Linked DNA regions of Tribolium castaneum. Each later gene encodes a partner of the first gene's protein in a complex. Links are inferred from orthologs where the notes say so. Each region holds a gene or a part of one and is shown on either strand. Other genes may lie near its edges.

Evidence for each region. Proteins that work in one complex are often made in the same cells at the same time.
Region 2: eIF3d1 (region 1) and eIF3h share a complex: the UniProt entries of both Drosophila melanogaster proteins name them as parts of the eukaryotic translation initiation factor 3 (eIF-3) complex. The link is inferred for Tribolium castaneum from reciprocal best matches to the Drosophila melanogaster genes eIF3d1 and eIF3h.
Region 3: eIF3d1 (region 1) and eIF3m share a complex: the UniProt entries of both Drosophila melanogaster proteins name them as parts of the eukaryotic translation initiation factor 3 (eIF-3) complex. The link is inferred for Tribolium castaneum from reciprocal best matches to the Drosophila melanogaster genes eIF3d1 and eIF3m.

What each region holds. Positions count from the first base shown.
Region 1 is NC_087399.1:4,807,247-4,812,923, reverse strand, and holds eIF3d1 (eukaryotic initiation factor 3 p66 subunit), read right to left. Parts: upstream 3,655-5,677; 5' UTR 3,588-3,654; coding exon 3,386-3,587; intron 3,324-3,385; coding exon 3,061-3,323; intron 3,015-3,060; coding exon 2,903-3,014; intron 2,858-2,902; coding exon 2,748-2,857; intron 2,694-2,747; coding exon 2,555-2,693; intron 2,508-2,554; coding exon 2,215-2,507; intron 2,172-2,214; coding exon 1,602-2,171; 3' UTR 1,545-1,601; downstream 1-1,544. Other genes in the region: Sans (ankyrin repeat and SAM domain-containing protein 4B), read right to left, coding at 4,461-4,839, 4,889-5,184, 5,231-5,506, 5,557-5,677. UniProt on the Drosophila melanogaster protein: mRNA cap-binding component of the eukaryotic translation initiation factor 3 (eIF-3) complex, which is involved in protein synthesis of a specialized repertoire of mRNAs and, together with other initiation factors, stimulates binding of mRNA and methionyl-tRNAi to the 40S ribosome.
Region 2 is NC_087398.1:6,459,940-6,464,875, forward strand, and holds eIF3h (eukaryotic translation initiation factor 3 subunit H), read right to left. Parts: upstream 2,824-4,936; 5' UTR 2,674-2,823; coding exon 2,596-2,673; intron 2,500-2,595; coding exon 1,561-2,499; 3' UTR 1,518-1,560; downstream 1-1,517. Other genes in the region: SP555 (SPRY domain-containing SOCS box protein 3), read left to right, coding at 1-745; SelT (thioredoxin reductase-like selenoprotein T homolog CG3887), read left to right, coding at 2,967-3,121, 3,168-3,297, 3,344-3,667; vkg (collagen alpha-2(IV) chain), read right to left, coding at 4,261-4,683, 4,734-4,848, 4,901-4,936. UniProt on the Drosophila melanogaster protein: Component of the eukaryotic translation initiation factor 3 (eIF-3) complex, which is involved in protein synthesis of a specialized repertoire of mRNAs and, together with other initiation factors, stimulates binding of mRNA and methionyl-tRNAi to the 40S ribosome.
Region 3 is NC_087400.1:752,778-757,583, reverse strand, and holds eIF3m (eukaryotic translation initiation factor 3 subunit M), read left to right. Parts: upstream 1-1,859; 5' UTR 1,860-1,989; coding exon 1,990-2,034; intron 2,035-2,091; coding exon 2,092-2,271; intron 2,272-2,316; coding exon 2,317-3,246; 3' UTR 3,247-3,289; downstream 3,290-4,806. Other genes in the region: Sec15 (exocyst complex component 6), read left to right, coding at 1-20, 67-234, 288-673, 724-915, 959-1,196, 1,241-1,382, 1,430-1,616, 1,662-1,788; CysRS (cysteine--tRNA ligase, cytoplasmic), read left to right, coding at 3,622-3,987, 4,038-4,117, 4,173-4,389. UniProt on the Drosophila melanogaster protein: Component of the eukaryotic translation initiation factor 3 (eIF-3) complex, which is involved in protein synthesis of a specialized repertoire of mRNAs and, together with other initiation factors, stimulates binding of mRNA and methionyl-tRNAi to the 40S ribosome.

The DNA.
Region 1 (5,677 bases):
TGGAAAAACTGAACAGCTGGAGGCACCAAATTGCCCAATATTTGGACAAAAACGTGGGCTGTGTCTTATCTAAGAGTAATATGGAGACCTTGGTTTTGCAAATGCCGAGTGATTCGGCTGATATTATGCAAATTTCGCAGTCATCACACGTGAAGGAACATTTGGACGAAGTTATGCAAATATTGTCGGAGGGAAATCCCGTCCGGTTTAATGAGTTTTCTAGAAATAAACGTAAATTTAACCAAACTGGGTTTGGTAGAAATGAACCGTCGGGAAGTAATAAGAAAAAATGGAATAATCAAATTGGCAAAAATGTGCAAAACATGTTTGACTTGAGGAACACTTTGCCCCAAAGGGACAGGAAGCCCTTCTGGAACAAGCAAGCGGCCAAACGTTTTCACAAGTATAACTAGACCACAAATTTTTTTTTTTTTGGATTAATTCTTTTTGGTAAGTTTCAATTTTATTCAGTTAATTATGTTTTTTATGAGTGGTTTGGACCACTTTTATTTTTTTCATTTGGGTACAAATGCGTCTTTATGGAAACGCTACTTCACAAAATACAGCTTAATGTGTTTGAAAAAATTAGAAAGATATTTCGCTTAACTCCACAATGTGAATTCATAAGTGAAATATTTCGAAAACTACTGTGGGTATAGGGCTCCTGTTGTTGATAAAAACAAAACTAAAACATTTAAGATATTGGAAAAGACAATAACAAACATATTGTATAAGTGCGGCAATAAATTATATAGTTCATTCAAAAAAAAAAAAAATAAAGTAACAAACCTTTCCCCCCTCCATTATTTCATTCGTGGAAGAATAACAAATTAGTTTCGAGGGAAAAATAGTTTAAAAAGCTGATGTTTTGTAAAATGAAAAAAATTATTAAAGTGCACTTATCTTCATGGCATCTACTTCCGCTACAATATGTAGCAATAAGGTATTGCAAATAAATAAAAACCAAGTTAATATTATGTCATTATTATACCTACCATTCCACATTTCACTTACAATATGTTAATTGTATCACATATTCAATCCCACTTGGAGATGAGCAATTGAAAAAATACACTTTACGACATCATAAACTCAAATGTCATCAAATTAGTTTGAAAATTTTATAAAGTAGTTAATCTGTTGTAAAATGTTGCACTCAAACGATTATAACTTTTCAACATCTCAAATTGTGTGGGTTCGAGTAAAAATAAAACTGTTAATTTGATTTAGTTATTGAATGTTGGAACGTATTAACAAAAAAAGAATGAATCATACGATAATATGACATCTTACGTCATAAAAATGTGCTGATAATCTTGAATAAGTAAATTCTAAACCTAATAAAGTAAATCCGCAACAAAATAGAATAATGCACTTACCTTTATTTTTCTTTTGTTGTGAATACGACAGCTTTACTTTCTTTGTTGAAAAAAATTAAAAAATGCGTGAGCAAATGCACCTTGCTGCTGCTACACGACAAGAGTCCGTTTTATTTTTTTTTCACTTGTTGGTTAATACTATGCACGAGAATTAACTGCAAATTATTATTTATTGATCATTTTATTTCGGCCTTTCGCTAATACATGATAAAAATACAAAATCTAGCGTTTCGCACTGTTGGTGTATGGATAAAGGGTCTGGAAAGTCACGGAATCAGGGGGCACCTCATCCTCCGACTCCGACTCCCCGTCCGATTCGAACGTATTATCCGGAATATCGTACAACCGGATCATCGGCTTATTCGGATCTTTCATAATCAAATACTTCCCATCCTTCTGTTTCATAACAATGTCAATAATACACCGCAGAATCCCCCACGCATTATCCATATTCAGATTAATCTGAGTGGCAAACTCGTGCGGCTTATACTGCTGTGTACCCAGAATAACATGCTTGCTGTTATCCCTGACATGGGCCCGGGAAACATAACCGAATTTAATTTGGTCGCTGCCAGCCAGCAACGCCTGAACGGTCCATTTGGCCAGCTTGCAGGCGTTATTACGCAGCTCATTGGCCAAAACGGCGCCTCTCTGGGTGTCCAGTTTCTGGCGCCACTCCACCCCATTGGCCAATTTGGAATCCCATTCGTTCAAGGCCTTGATTGACAGGAATTGGAGCTCGCCATTCGGGGACTGGACCACGGCATCGTGTTCGCAACGGACAACCAAAAACTACACAAATTAAACGTGGACAGAAACAAAACGAAAAAATTACTATTCCGCTCCCTAGGTCATATTTGCGGTATCTGTAGGCCACACTGGCGACCTCCCCTTCCTCCTCCTCGGAGATAAAAGGGTTTGGGTTGTCGAACTTGAAGCGGGGCTCCCCGGTACCTGTTCTTAATACCTGTTGACTGAAATTGTGGTTAATGAAAGTGGCTTCCAAGGCCAGGTTTCGAGGGGAGTTTAAGGAGTTGCCGTCGTCTTGTGGGGGCTCCACGGACGTTTCGTTGACGGTTAAAAGATCAAACTCCGTATTGTCACGCTTATCAAAGAAGAGTTTATCGCCTGAAAAATTTTGTTTGAGATTTGTTACACTTGTAAGGGCACAGTACCAATTTTTTCAATCACGATGTCCCAGGAATAATTCGAGCGAGTGCAGCACATGATGGTCGCAAGGATCGCATCAGTGGCGTACACATTGCCCTCCGTTTTACTCAACTTACGGATAATCGGATCATCAGTTGTTGTAACCTGAGGATAATTAATTTTAATTTTTTGCCATCAATGATATTAAAAATAACCCACTGTATGGAAGATACGATTGACGCTTTGCAGCGGCTTCTCATTCTTCACGTTGACACGATCGTACGACTTGTCATAGTACTCCAACTCGCCACAACAAGTAATATCCTCGCCTAAAAACCAAAATAGAAAAATTCGCATTGCTTAATTAAACCAACCGTCTTTGACGTTAGGGAGCGACAATTTTCCCAACCGAGGGAAATCCATTTCCTCAATGGTGACCCAATCCGGTTTGACCGTAACCGAAGCGTCCCTGATCTTAATCTGGGGCTAAAACCGCCAACTATATTGCGGTAAAACTCAAGCGAGATCTTACCCGTCCTTGTCCCCATTTCTTAACCTGGCTCCTCTTATACGTGTCCCTGGCTTTAACCCCCTTCCCGAGGGACTGCATGCCGCTGCCTTGCACCCCAGCACGGCCGCCACGCCCGCGCAAGTTGCGCTGGTTCGCGCGGAAGCGCCCCCGTTGATAGGGGGGCTTCTGGACGCGTGTTGTGTCCACCAAATGAAAAGTGCTCTCGTCTTCGTCATGATAATACGCGTATTGACTGCCAGAACCGAACTGGGACGCATACTTGTCTAAAATTGCGAAAAATAAGTCACTTAACCTCAAATTTGACATGTGTCAATGTCAGACTAACTGGCATATTTCTTGTCTTGGAAGGCGGCCCCCGTCCAGTCGCTGATTTTGCCGAGACGGTCGCCTTTGCTGAAGGGCTGGTACGGCATATCTTTGAACTGGTCGGGCAGCTCGCAGGGCCCCCATCCAGTCGGGTTGTCCTGGATTACGGGGGCCACGAATTTGGGGACCTCACCCGCTGATTGACCATCAGTCATAGTCATTTGACTTGCTTTCAGAAGTTAGGAAGTGTTCAATTCAATATGTTGAAGCAGAAACCGCGAGTTGTGCACAACACTTGGCAAAAAGAAATGTGCGCGCGCAGATTCTGACAATCGACAGTTTTTGAAATTCGGCGCTTTTGAAATCAAAATAACATGGCCAACTTACATCAAATGTCGCTGCGCTTGAGAAAACATTTTCATCCACTTTTTTTTCAATTTAATTCTCTAATTTTTGTTTACGTGTTGTTTCACTTACCTTTTCTACACTTTTTTTCAGAAAAAAATTGTCACCCTGATCCGCAGCGACATTTGATGTAAGTTGGCGATGCTAAATAATAATGGAATCCTGTTAAAAATCCTTCACTCTTGGGTTTCCAATTAATTTTAAATTAAATTTTTTCCATTACAACCTAATTGATTTATTGCATTGTTAATAACTAATATTTAACTTGGAAAAACAGCAAGAAAATAAGCTCTAATGGCAATAAGGCATTATTTTTTTCTATTTTGGTGTCTCACTAACTTTATTTTGCATAAAAACTCATTGCCATCACAAAGAACGCAACAGCGCAAAAATTTGTATTGAATTCAAATTCTTCTACACGTAACTTCACTTTTTCGTAGTATATTTTACGTCCCCTATTATTGCGTATTGACGATGACATCAGATTTCTCTCAGCAAAGAGAACACTGATAAGGAGTGGGTTTAATAAGCTCGCATTTGCATAACACACATTTATTTATAATAAATTTAAATACGAATTTGTAAATATTATGCCTGGCACACATCTGTACAAAAAGTGCCCATAAAATACAAGCAATACCGTTATCATGTCCACGACAATGAATAAATAACACATTTTGACTCCATATTTACAACATGCTGTCTGTGACTTCGCCCGGATTCTCCAGCGCGGCTTTGCGTTCGCTGACAGCGGTCACAAGTTTCCTGTACGGCCCTAGGGGCAAGTTCAGGCTTTGGAGATCGTTTTCTGTCAGTATCATCAGCGTTTCCAGGTCGATTTTCTGCTCCTCGAAGCGGGGAAGGTACTCTCCTAGCCCCCAGGCGGTCAAGAAGCGTTCCAGGGGAGCGTTCGGGTTATCGTCGTCGCTGGACTCGGGGTCTGATAACTCGTCTTCGATTGATAGAGTGTTGGTTCTGGGGCCGTAGCTTTCCCCTGACCCGATTGAACTCTCCTCGTTGGGGCCTTCGCTGGAGTAGAAGCCTTGGAATGTGTTGGTTATGCTCTTTCTAAATAAAAAACGTGTTTTTGTGCTTTCGCATATTGATTATTTGTTACCGGAACGCTATGCTTCCAATTCCTGGGCGCACGAAAATACTCGCTGGTTCTTGTTGGAGTTTAGTGTCGCCGTTTGTTTCCAATTCGTGCATGAAGTCAGGCTGGGAGATGGACCTTGTGAGGCCGTTGCTGGACGGTGGTGGCGGCGGAGACGACTCTATGTACTCAGCTTCGTTGAAGACCGATTCCAGACGGCCTCTCCTGCCATCGATGGTCCCCGTGTAAAGTACCTCAGAGTCTCGCCGATACCCCGTTAGTGATCTGACTGAGCGTTTGCCGTCTTCAATTTCACTAATCTGGAACGAGTTTTTCAAATAAATGCTTATTTACTCTCGGGAGCACCTTGAAGTCGTCGTCGAAGCCAGGCCGCGTTGTTCGGCTGGCGAGCACCCGCTTCTGCACCGACCCCAAATTCCGCATCCCGGAAACGGTCCCGTTGCCCACGATGGTGCTGAACCTCGGAGGGGCCGGCCCCAGATTCGACAAGTTCGACATGGACCCACTTTTAATTCTGGTTTTGAGCGTCTCTATCATCGACGGCCTGTGGTGACCTTTGTTCATACGTTTCTCCAGCTTCTCTTGAACTTGCTCTTTTTTGACTTGGCGTTTGTTGAATTCCTGAAAAGAAAGTGAAACGATTGGTTTCTCTCGACGGGGCCGTGTTTTACTTTGATGCGTTTTTCTGACTCTTTCTTTGCTTTTTCTTTGAGTGCTTTGGCTTTCTTTTTGTCGCCGGCCTCCAGTTTGGCGTGGACGCCGTCCAAGAACCGCAGGATGTCGTCGCGGTTG
Region 2 (4,936 bases), on another chromosome or scaffold:
GGAACCGGTCCCCCAGCCCCTGCGGCACGGCTGCGACGACCTGTGGACGTGGAACCGGTGGGAGCGCAGCCCCGAGGTCCGGCTCTACGGCAACAACTTCCGCATCGCGCACTTCCACCCCAACTGGAGCAGCGGCACGGCCGGCGTGCGGGGCACCCGGGTGCTGAACAACGGCCGCTACTTCTGGGAGCTGCACATCTCGCGGCGCATCTTCGGCACCAGCATGATGTTCGGCATCGGCACCAAGAAGGCGCGCCTGCACGCCGACTCCTTCACCAACCTGCTCGGCGAAGACGACCACGGCTGGGGGCTGTCGCACAAGGGGCTGCTGTGGCACGGCGGCCGCTGGACGCACTACACCAAGCCCTTCCGGGAGAACATGGCCACCAAGATCGGCGTGCTCTTCGACGGCATCGCCGGCACGCTGAGCTACTACAAGGACGAGAAGTACCTGGGGGTGGCCTTCCGGGGGCTCAACGAGGTCAAGGAGCCCCTTTACCCCATTATTTGCTCCACGGCCGCCAAGACTGAGATGTATCTGGATTCGATGAAGAGGGACTTCGTCAATTTGCAGGACAGGTGCAGGGCGGTGATCGTCAAGAGGATTAGGAGTAAGCAGGATTTGGAAAAATTGTTCGTTCCGACTAAAATTAGGAGTTATTTGGCTGAGGCGATTGTTGACAGTGTTGAGCCGTTCAAACCCGTCAATCACAACACGATTTCGATTAATGTCGGGAATATGTAGGCGTTTGATTCGACAAGTGAATCACGTGGATAAATAAAAGGCAAACTAAATACTTTTATTGTTGGTCCACACTGTATATGTATTTGTACCAAAAGGTTTTCTCGGTACGTGTGTATAGAAATGTAAAACCGTGGATTTGTCCATGTGCCATTTTAAAATTCTGTAAATACGATAAATGGGACGACGCCAGTGGTGAATGTTACCTAGAGTCTAGTCGTAGTGTTAAGCTATTTTATCAATGTAAAATGGGGAATTTTTTCAAATGAATTAATCAACATTTTTATACTCATGACACGATTTTTCTTATTGATTGAACTGCTAATAGCGTAATACGAAACGATTTATTGTGATTGATTATCTAGTCTTGTTTTGTTGTTGTTTTTCGTGTGTTGTTTGTTATTGGTTTGTATGAGTTTGAGAAAGTTGCACAAAAAAGTGTGTACATTTTGGCCAGTTTGTGCAATAGAAATGTAAATAAATAAAATTCATTTCTTTAGGTTCGTAAGACTGTAATGACTAAATTGATGTTTAGGGCAATTGAATACATTATTTTTTAAAAGCTGTGTCCTTTATTTCAATCAAAAAACAACAAAATCAACATAAACGATGAAAAGGTTGCGAATATGACTTTCTCCACTGTTGGTTTAGTACCATTTTTTAAGGGGATGATTAAACGTTCAAACGTAGAAATTTCACAGAAGAGACGCCACCACAAAACCTACTGACTGCGCCAATTAAGCTTTATTACGCCTGGTTTAAATAAAACCCAAACTCATTGTATATTATTTTATTGTAAAACAACGTAACAAAACAGTTCAAGGATTAGAATTCGCCTCCTTGGCGTTCTGCAACGCTTGCGTAATATACAACTTAGCCAAACTCTGCGAGCACAACTGGGAAATGGCCTGACTATACGTATTAATCTGTCCCGCGATAATCATCGGGTTCAGCCTCGGGGGCACCGGATGTGGCCTAAACAGCTTATTAATGTCCTCTTCGGGCAATGGGGGCTCGTCTTTCGCGGCCCTAGCCGCATTTTCCTGCGCCCTCTTTTGCAAATATCTGTGTTTGTCTTGCTGTTGCCGGCTGACCAACTGTTGGTATCTATTAAACTTGATCGCTTCTTGGTTGAGTTCGTCAACTCGGTCCATGAGGCAGCGCAATTGCCCCTCGAGGACGGAGGCGGTTCCCAAATCTAAAAATTTCGAGCCTTCTTCTTCCGGGACAAGTTCTTGCAATTCGGACATCATGATGTTGGTCAAGGCGGAGTTTTTAATAACGAAGGGGACCTCGATGAAGAGGTTCTCGTATCCGACTTTGAGCTTCAAGAGGGCCTCGGGCGTGAATTCGCCCTCCTTGTACATCTCAATGGCTTGAGGCGTCAAACGGTAGGCTTTAAGTGTGAGGAACCCGCGCGAGGATTTTTGAGTGTCGTAAATCACAACGACGGATTCCTCGATTGAGGTTTGGTAGTGGAATTGCGATTCGAGAAGAGGGAGGCTGAGGAAGTTCCCGACGTCGGCGCTTTGGTACCACCCCACATGGAAGTGGTCGACGTTGACGCGTCGCAGGCGCCGCATCATCGCTAGCTGGTACTCGTCCTCGTCCATTGTCTCGTCGGTTTGTTTCGGGAATGGGAAACAATTCGTGATTTCCAGCCGGTTTTCAACGACAAGGCCGAGAAGGGCCCCCTGGGCTATGTCCATGTTAGTGGTCGATTCCTCATGGCAGTGTTTTACGATCTTCATGACGGCCTGAAAGAGGTTAGGTTCCGTATGTTAGGTATTAATTACTAACTGAGGTAGCCAAAGTGTGACTTTTGGGTTTAAATAAACTGAAGGGATATTTACCAAGCCGTCGGCTTGCACGTAAGCAATCGTCGAGTCATTTTCAGGCACACGCCTCGAAGCAGCCCCACGAGACGCCATTTTAAACTGCCAAAAATACCTGCCAATGTAGCGCAAACAAAAACTCCACAATTGCTACAAAAACACAATTTTCGTAAAAATTGCCAGCCGATAATGGCCTTATTTAACGATTACGTTGTTTGTTACCAAATTTTGTAGCAGCTAACACAATCTCGTGTTTTTTGGACGTGAAATAATTATTATATTAGTGTTTTAGGCTGATCTAGTCGGTGTCTAAATTCCCCTACGTTTCCACCAGTCCCACCTGTCATTGGAAATTTATCAGCTGACGAGAGCATTAGAAAGCAAAATAAATGGCTGGTTTAAGACAAATATCATGTTTTTGGTATTTAGTGGTGTTTGCGGGGCTGTGTTTTCTCGAATCAAACGGTAACGTAGCAGCTGAAGACGTCCTCCCGTCGAAGCTAAGTCAAAATGTTGGGGCCCCAACCTTAAAATTTTTGTATTGGTATGTTCCCCTAGCCCCAATATCATAATCTAATTATTTAATTTAGTTATTCGTGTGGTTACCGGAAAACGTTCGAGCAGTACGTAAAAATCGTTGGGGACAAATACCCTTTTATAGCCGTTGATGGCCAAAATTACGACCCCCCAGGCTTGAACATGTATTTGGCCAGACTTATTGTAAGTATGATATAATGAGTGAAAGTTGATGATTATGCGTTTTCAGGGCATCGTTAAAATGGTGATAATCGTGTGTATTTTGGGGGCTATTAACATATTTGAATACATTAACCAACCACAGCCTTCATGGTGGATTTGGTGCACAGAAAACAAGCTTTATGCTTGCATGATGCTGTTCTTTGTGTGTAATATTATCGAAGGACAGTTGATTCAATCGGGGGCTTTTGAAATCTCACTGAATGACGTTCCTGTTTGGTCCAAACTGGAGACGGGCAGGATACCACAACCTGCAGAGCTTTTCCAAATCATCGATAATCATATGCAGTTCACTGACAGCAAAATTGAACTGAGCAACGGATTCCCGAAGTAAAGTTACTATAAATTTCGAAAATGATTGTTTTGTTATCAGATTGTTCTTTTTTAAATTTGTTGTGAGTCTGGTAGTGTCATTCTATAATTTTTTGTCTGGTCACTATCACACAGCGTTCAGTATGTTTGAATGTATGATTTATAAATAACTAGATTTGTGATAAGTAAAAGTTGTACATAAAGAAATTGTCTTCTTATTTGATACCTAATAAAACCCAAAAACTCATCGTTTTTATGATTTATTCATTTGTTACATTACAAAATCATTTGGCAGTGTTTAATAGAAAGGCACATAAAATATGAATCACATTTTCCTGTCGTAAGCCTTAAAACTAATTAGCACCTTTGAGATAAAAAAGATCAAAAACAAGCAAGAATTCAAGTATTAAAAAAATAAATTCTATACAAAGAGCCACTGTCGTAATCGCTTAAATAAAATTAAGAACCTAAATCCTTACAAGTAAAAAATATTCTAATAGGATTTGTGTTTGAACACGGCGTACGTTCCTTCTCAAGGACAAATGTTAACATCAAATCTATGTTACAATTAATTTACACATAATTACAAAGTTAATAACTGTTATGGCACGTCGATCACGGCGTATTTTGCGGTCTCCTGTGTCTCAATCTCTGCCTCAAACGCCTCCTCCTATTCTCTTCCAAGTTCCTGTAACTTCCTGGTGGATAGCCTGGGGGCCGATACGGGGTCCCGTATGTGGGTCTTGTGATTCGACTAGGGGTGACAATTGCAGTGCGACTGGTGTACCGTCTGCGGATGCAAACGGCGCATCTGCTGACTCTTGAGGTCAAATAGCCGGCTTTGAGAGTCTCCGAACGCGGTTTTTGGAACATGGCTGAATCCTCTATGGTGGCCAGCCAGTAGGACAGGATGGTGGTGTAGTAGTTGCAGCGGCCGTGACCGTGGCATTCGATGAAGGGTTTGGGGCGGAACTCTTCGAGGCATGAGCCGGGGGAGACGAGGGATTGGCCTGAGCCTTCGGCACCGGCGTCCACGTGCTGCAATATATGTTAAACAAATGTGGGTTCGAGGGGGTGAAGAGAGTTACCATAAGGAAGCTGTATCCGGCCCAGAGTTCGTCCCAGCCGTTGGGACACTGTGGGATGGTTGTCGATTGACTGTGGACGGCGATGACACGTGTGACAGATTCGCAAACGGAGCATCTGAAAGCAAAACGGTTAAAAATGTACAAAAATAGAATATGTTCGTTCATACCTTGAAATATAGCGTCTGACTTCTGGTGCTGGGATG
Region 3 (4,806 bases), on another chromosome or scaffold:
TACAGCCGCCCACTAATATGGTAAGTCGGCTGTGACTTGTATCGTGATCGTCTTTTGTTCCCGCAGCACGAGTGTGAAGAGAGCTACCGTGCCTACATTCACGCCGTCCTCGGTTTCTTTATTTTGGAGGATCACGTGTTAAACACCGGGAACGGGCTCATAACCCGCGCCTTCTTGGACGAAATGTGGACGATGGCGTTGTCAAAAATCGTCAGTGCTTTGCAAACACATTCGGTATAATTACCCGAAAAATTTGTTTACTCAATCGGTTATGAAAAAAATTTCAGGCGTATTGTACCGACGCCACCTTGATCCTGCGCATTAAAGACTTGATCATGCTTTTTTGCACGACTTTGCGTAATTATGGTTATTCGGTGAAACCGTTGTGGGAGTTGGTGCGTGAATTACGTGACCATTATACCGAAGTTTTGATGCAGAGATGGGTGCAAGTCTTTCGGGAAATTCTCTCGAAGGAGGATTTTCAGCCGATTCAAGTGTACGATCTCGAGGAGTATGAGCATATTTTGTCGTCGTTTCCATGGGACGAGGACTTGCCCAACGATGTGGTTTTCCCGCACAAGTTCCCCTTTTCGGGGATGGTGCCCAAGGTCTACCAACAAGTCAAGGAGTTTATTTACGCGTGTTTGAAATTCTCCGAGGATTTGAATTTAAGGTTTGGTTGTTGAATAATTCCAATCGAAGTGGGCTGTGACTGAATTGTAGTCAAGTGGAAGTCGACGAAATGATCCGCAAGTCGATGAATTTGCTCCTGACGCGGACGTTTAGCGGTTGTTTGTCGTCAACGTTTCGTAGCCCGCACATCAATCTTCAGGAAATTATCCAAATAATCATCGATACGGGCTATTTGGAGGAAGCCACGGTCTACTTGGACCAGTTTATTTCAAATATTACAGGGTAGGGCACAAAATTAATCCGCCAATAAAAACAAAACATTTAGGGAGGAGTCTCGAGGGGTGTCCACGGGAGTGGTCCAAGGCCAACCAGCCATGTTCCGCGTGGCTCGTGAAGACGCCGTGCGCCAAATTTGCGAAAAATTGCGCCAAAAATTGAACGAGTTTTACGAATTGGAGAGTTATGATTGGCTGTTGGGTGAGCCGTCAGGACACGCCTCTAGTTACATCTCCGATTTGATTGCTTTCCTCCAGACGACGTTTCAGAGTTTCACCAATTTACCGGTTTGTTGATTGGTTTTGTTGATTTTTTATCGAGTGATTTGTAGCCGGAGGTGGCGCAAGTTGCGTGTAAGTCGGCGTGTGAACACATTGCCAATTCGATGTTTCAACTGTTGATGAATGACGAGATCAAGCAAATTTCCATGGGGGCCTTAAACCAAATCAATTTAGATTTACTACAGTGTGAACGTAATTAATCGAAAAATGATAACCGGAAATTTAAACAAGTTTTACAGAATTTGCGGCCTCTGAGCCCGTCAAAGGCCTACAAGAGGACGTCCTCTTGTCGTATTTTACCAAACTACGGGAGACTTTAGACCTGTTCACGTCATGGGACTGGCCCACTTATTTCCACGACTATGGGCAAGAAACCAGCAAATATAAGCAAGTCAATCCAGATGATGCGATAGTATTGCTCGAAAAGTAACAAATCGGGTTATTAAACCACAAGTTAATTGATTCTTGTAGATTGAAAGAAGGCGATAAGAAAACTATGTTCACAGTATTGAAAAAGAACGAAAGAGACAAGAAGAAGTTACTGGAAACGGTCCTAAAACAACTGAGACAGCTGACCCAAATAACGCCCAACAAATAACCGACTTGTTGAATTAAATAATAAATTTTATTAATTATTCGGTGTTTTAATTTTTGTGGCCAACTTGGCCACCAAATTTAAAAAAGTAACAACTTGGCGTTTGCGCATGCGCATTGCCAACATAACCATCAAATTTGCGGTGTGGTTTTTCCCCTTAAAACAGTTAAAAATTGCAAAAAACCGTGAACTAACTGTAGAAAAATGCAAGTGCCCCCTGTCTTTATCGACGTGAGTCCCGAGGACCAGGTAGGCGCCCATTTGTGGCATTTTGTGTCCATATGACACTTTGAGGTTATGTTTTAGGCGCAAGAGCTCCGCATTTACTTAAAAAGTTTAGGCGCTGAAATTTCGGAGGAAAAATCAGTCAAGGGCATCGAAGACGACCTACACAAAATAATCGGCGTATGCGAGGCCTGTTTCAAGGAGGGCCAGGAGCCCGAAGTTGAGATGGTGCTCAACGACATTGTCTCAATCATGGTGCTTGTAAGTGTCTCGAATCATTTGCGCGTGGTATTGGACGTGTTTTAGATCCCGGCCGACCGGTCCGAGAACATCATCCTGGCCTTTTGCCAGAAGCTGCTCAAGGCTCAGGGCCCCAAACTGGGGCTGGTGTGCCTGCGCGCCTTGTGGCTGCTGTTCCAGTCGCTTGACGAGACGTCCCCCATGCGCTACCACGTCTACTACCACTTGATTTTAATTGCGGAGAAAACGGACCAGGTCAAGTCGGTGTTCCAGGATATCGAGCATTTGAAGCAACAGTTCGCCCCGTGTCCACCGACAAGCGAGCAGTTGCAGATTCTGTACCGGTTGTTGCACCAGGTGCTGCTAAAGAGCAACCACAGTGAGCAGGCTGCCAAGGTCATGATCGAACTTTTGGGGACCTACACCGATAAGAACGCCTCGCATGCCCGCGAGGACGCGATCAAGTGCATCGTCTCGGCCCTGGGGGACCCCAACACCTTCCTCCTCGACCCCTTACTGGCCCTAAAGCCGGTCAAATTTCTCGAAGGGGAGCTAATCCACGACTTGCTTAATATCTTTGTCAGCGAAAATTTGGCAACGTATTTGAAATTCTACCAAGAACACAAGGAGTTTGTCACGTCGCAGGGGTTGAACCACGAGAAGAACATGCAAAAGATGCGGTTGTTGTCCTTCATGCAACTCGCTGAGACCAACCCGGAGATCAGTTTTGACGTGATTGAGAGAGAGTTGCAGATCAAGGCTGAGGAGGTCGAGGCGTTTATTATCGAAGTCTTGAAGACTAAACTGGTGAGGGCCCGCATGGACCAAGCCGCTCGGAAAGTCTACGTCTCAAGCACCATGCATAGGACTTTTGGGCGCGCCCAGTGGCAACAATTGAGGGATTTGCTCCACTCGTGGAAAAGCAACCTCAGCATGGTCCAGGAAGGGATGAAGAACGTCACAGCGGCACAGCTCGAAATGTTGAACCAACAATAATTGTTTTGTAGCGATTAATTTAAGAATAAAAATTTTGGAACTAGTTGGGGATTTTTATTTTAATACCACGTCAAGTAACTAACTAAATTTGCTGCTTAAACTACGAAAATTACATTATTGCGCCCCATAATTTAATGTGGGGGTTTCACCCGCCACGTGTCGCACGTTCCTTGCCCCCAATCGGGGTCAAGAGCCGCCGGTGCCGTTTCATGTTGGCAGCACTGTGTGGTGTTGTGGCCGCTGATTCCGATTTTGTGGGAATTCCGTGCCTTCTTCTGATGCAATCACAGTTTAATTTCCGCTAGATAACACCGAAGAGTGCGTTTTGGTGTTGGTGTGTTAAATAATTGCAAATTTGGTGGTTGGAGTTAGGTTATGTCGAAACGTGTGCAGCCCCCGTGGTCGGCGCCGGAGGCGTCTGGCGGTCCGGTCCTGAAAGTGTTCAATAGTCTGACGCGTCAGAAGGAGGTGTTTAGGCCGATTTCGGGCAAAAAAGTGACTTGGTACAGTTGCGGGCCGACTGTTTACGACGCCTCGCACATGGGGCACGCCAGATCGTACATAACTTTTGATATTTTGAGGCGCGTCCTTGCCGATTATTTCGGTTATGATATTTTTTTCGTGATGAATATTACGGATATTGACGATAAAATCATAAAAAGGGCGCGTCAGAACTACTTGTTTGAGAGGTATGTTGGGGAGGAGAGGTCGTTACAGGAGGTTTTAAGTGACGCAAAGTTGGTATGGTTGTTTGTATTTTGTGGTGGTCACATTGTAACGGGGGTTTACAGGTTTTGGAGAAATTGGCTGAGACCACACAAAATGCCTTTGATCCCGATAAGAAACAAATGTATGAGAAACTTCTAGTCAAGTAAGCTATTTTGGCATTTTTTGTATATAGATGATTAAATTAATTTTTCAACTAGTCTCACTAAATCGGTTGAAGAATTGGAAAATGCGGTCAAAAGTGGTGATAATACGAAAATTGAAAACGCAAAGAAAAATTACATAGTGCGGAGTAAAGACCCACTGTCTGATTGGCTGGATTGTAAATTTGGGGCCACAATTACAGACAATGCGATTTTTACGTCATTACCACAGCACTGGGAACAAGAATTTCACAAAGACATGGAGGCTCTAAATGTACGTATTTTCGCAGCAAAAGTTGTACAAGTGCTACTTTTTGTCCGAATACAGGACAAGGTTTAGAGAAGAACGAGTGAGAAAATAATTTTGGTCAAAACCGCATCTCGCTATCGTCTTTTGTTTTCGACTTAAACAAAAGTTGACGTTTTAGCGAAATCTTAAAAATATCATATTTTCTTTATTATTAAACATTTACATTTGAAACAAAGACTTTATAAAGGCATTTTTTACAGAGAATCTAATGTTATTAGCGATTTTTTTCAAAAATTCGTTTAATTGTAATAACATGAAGTTATATTTTTTTAAATAGGAATCATAGTTGGCTGTGACAATTTCGAAAAGATTATTTTTTTCTGATTTGATATGTCTATTTGTGTAATACATAATTTAAAATATTTAAGAAAAAACAAAACA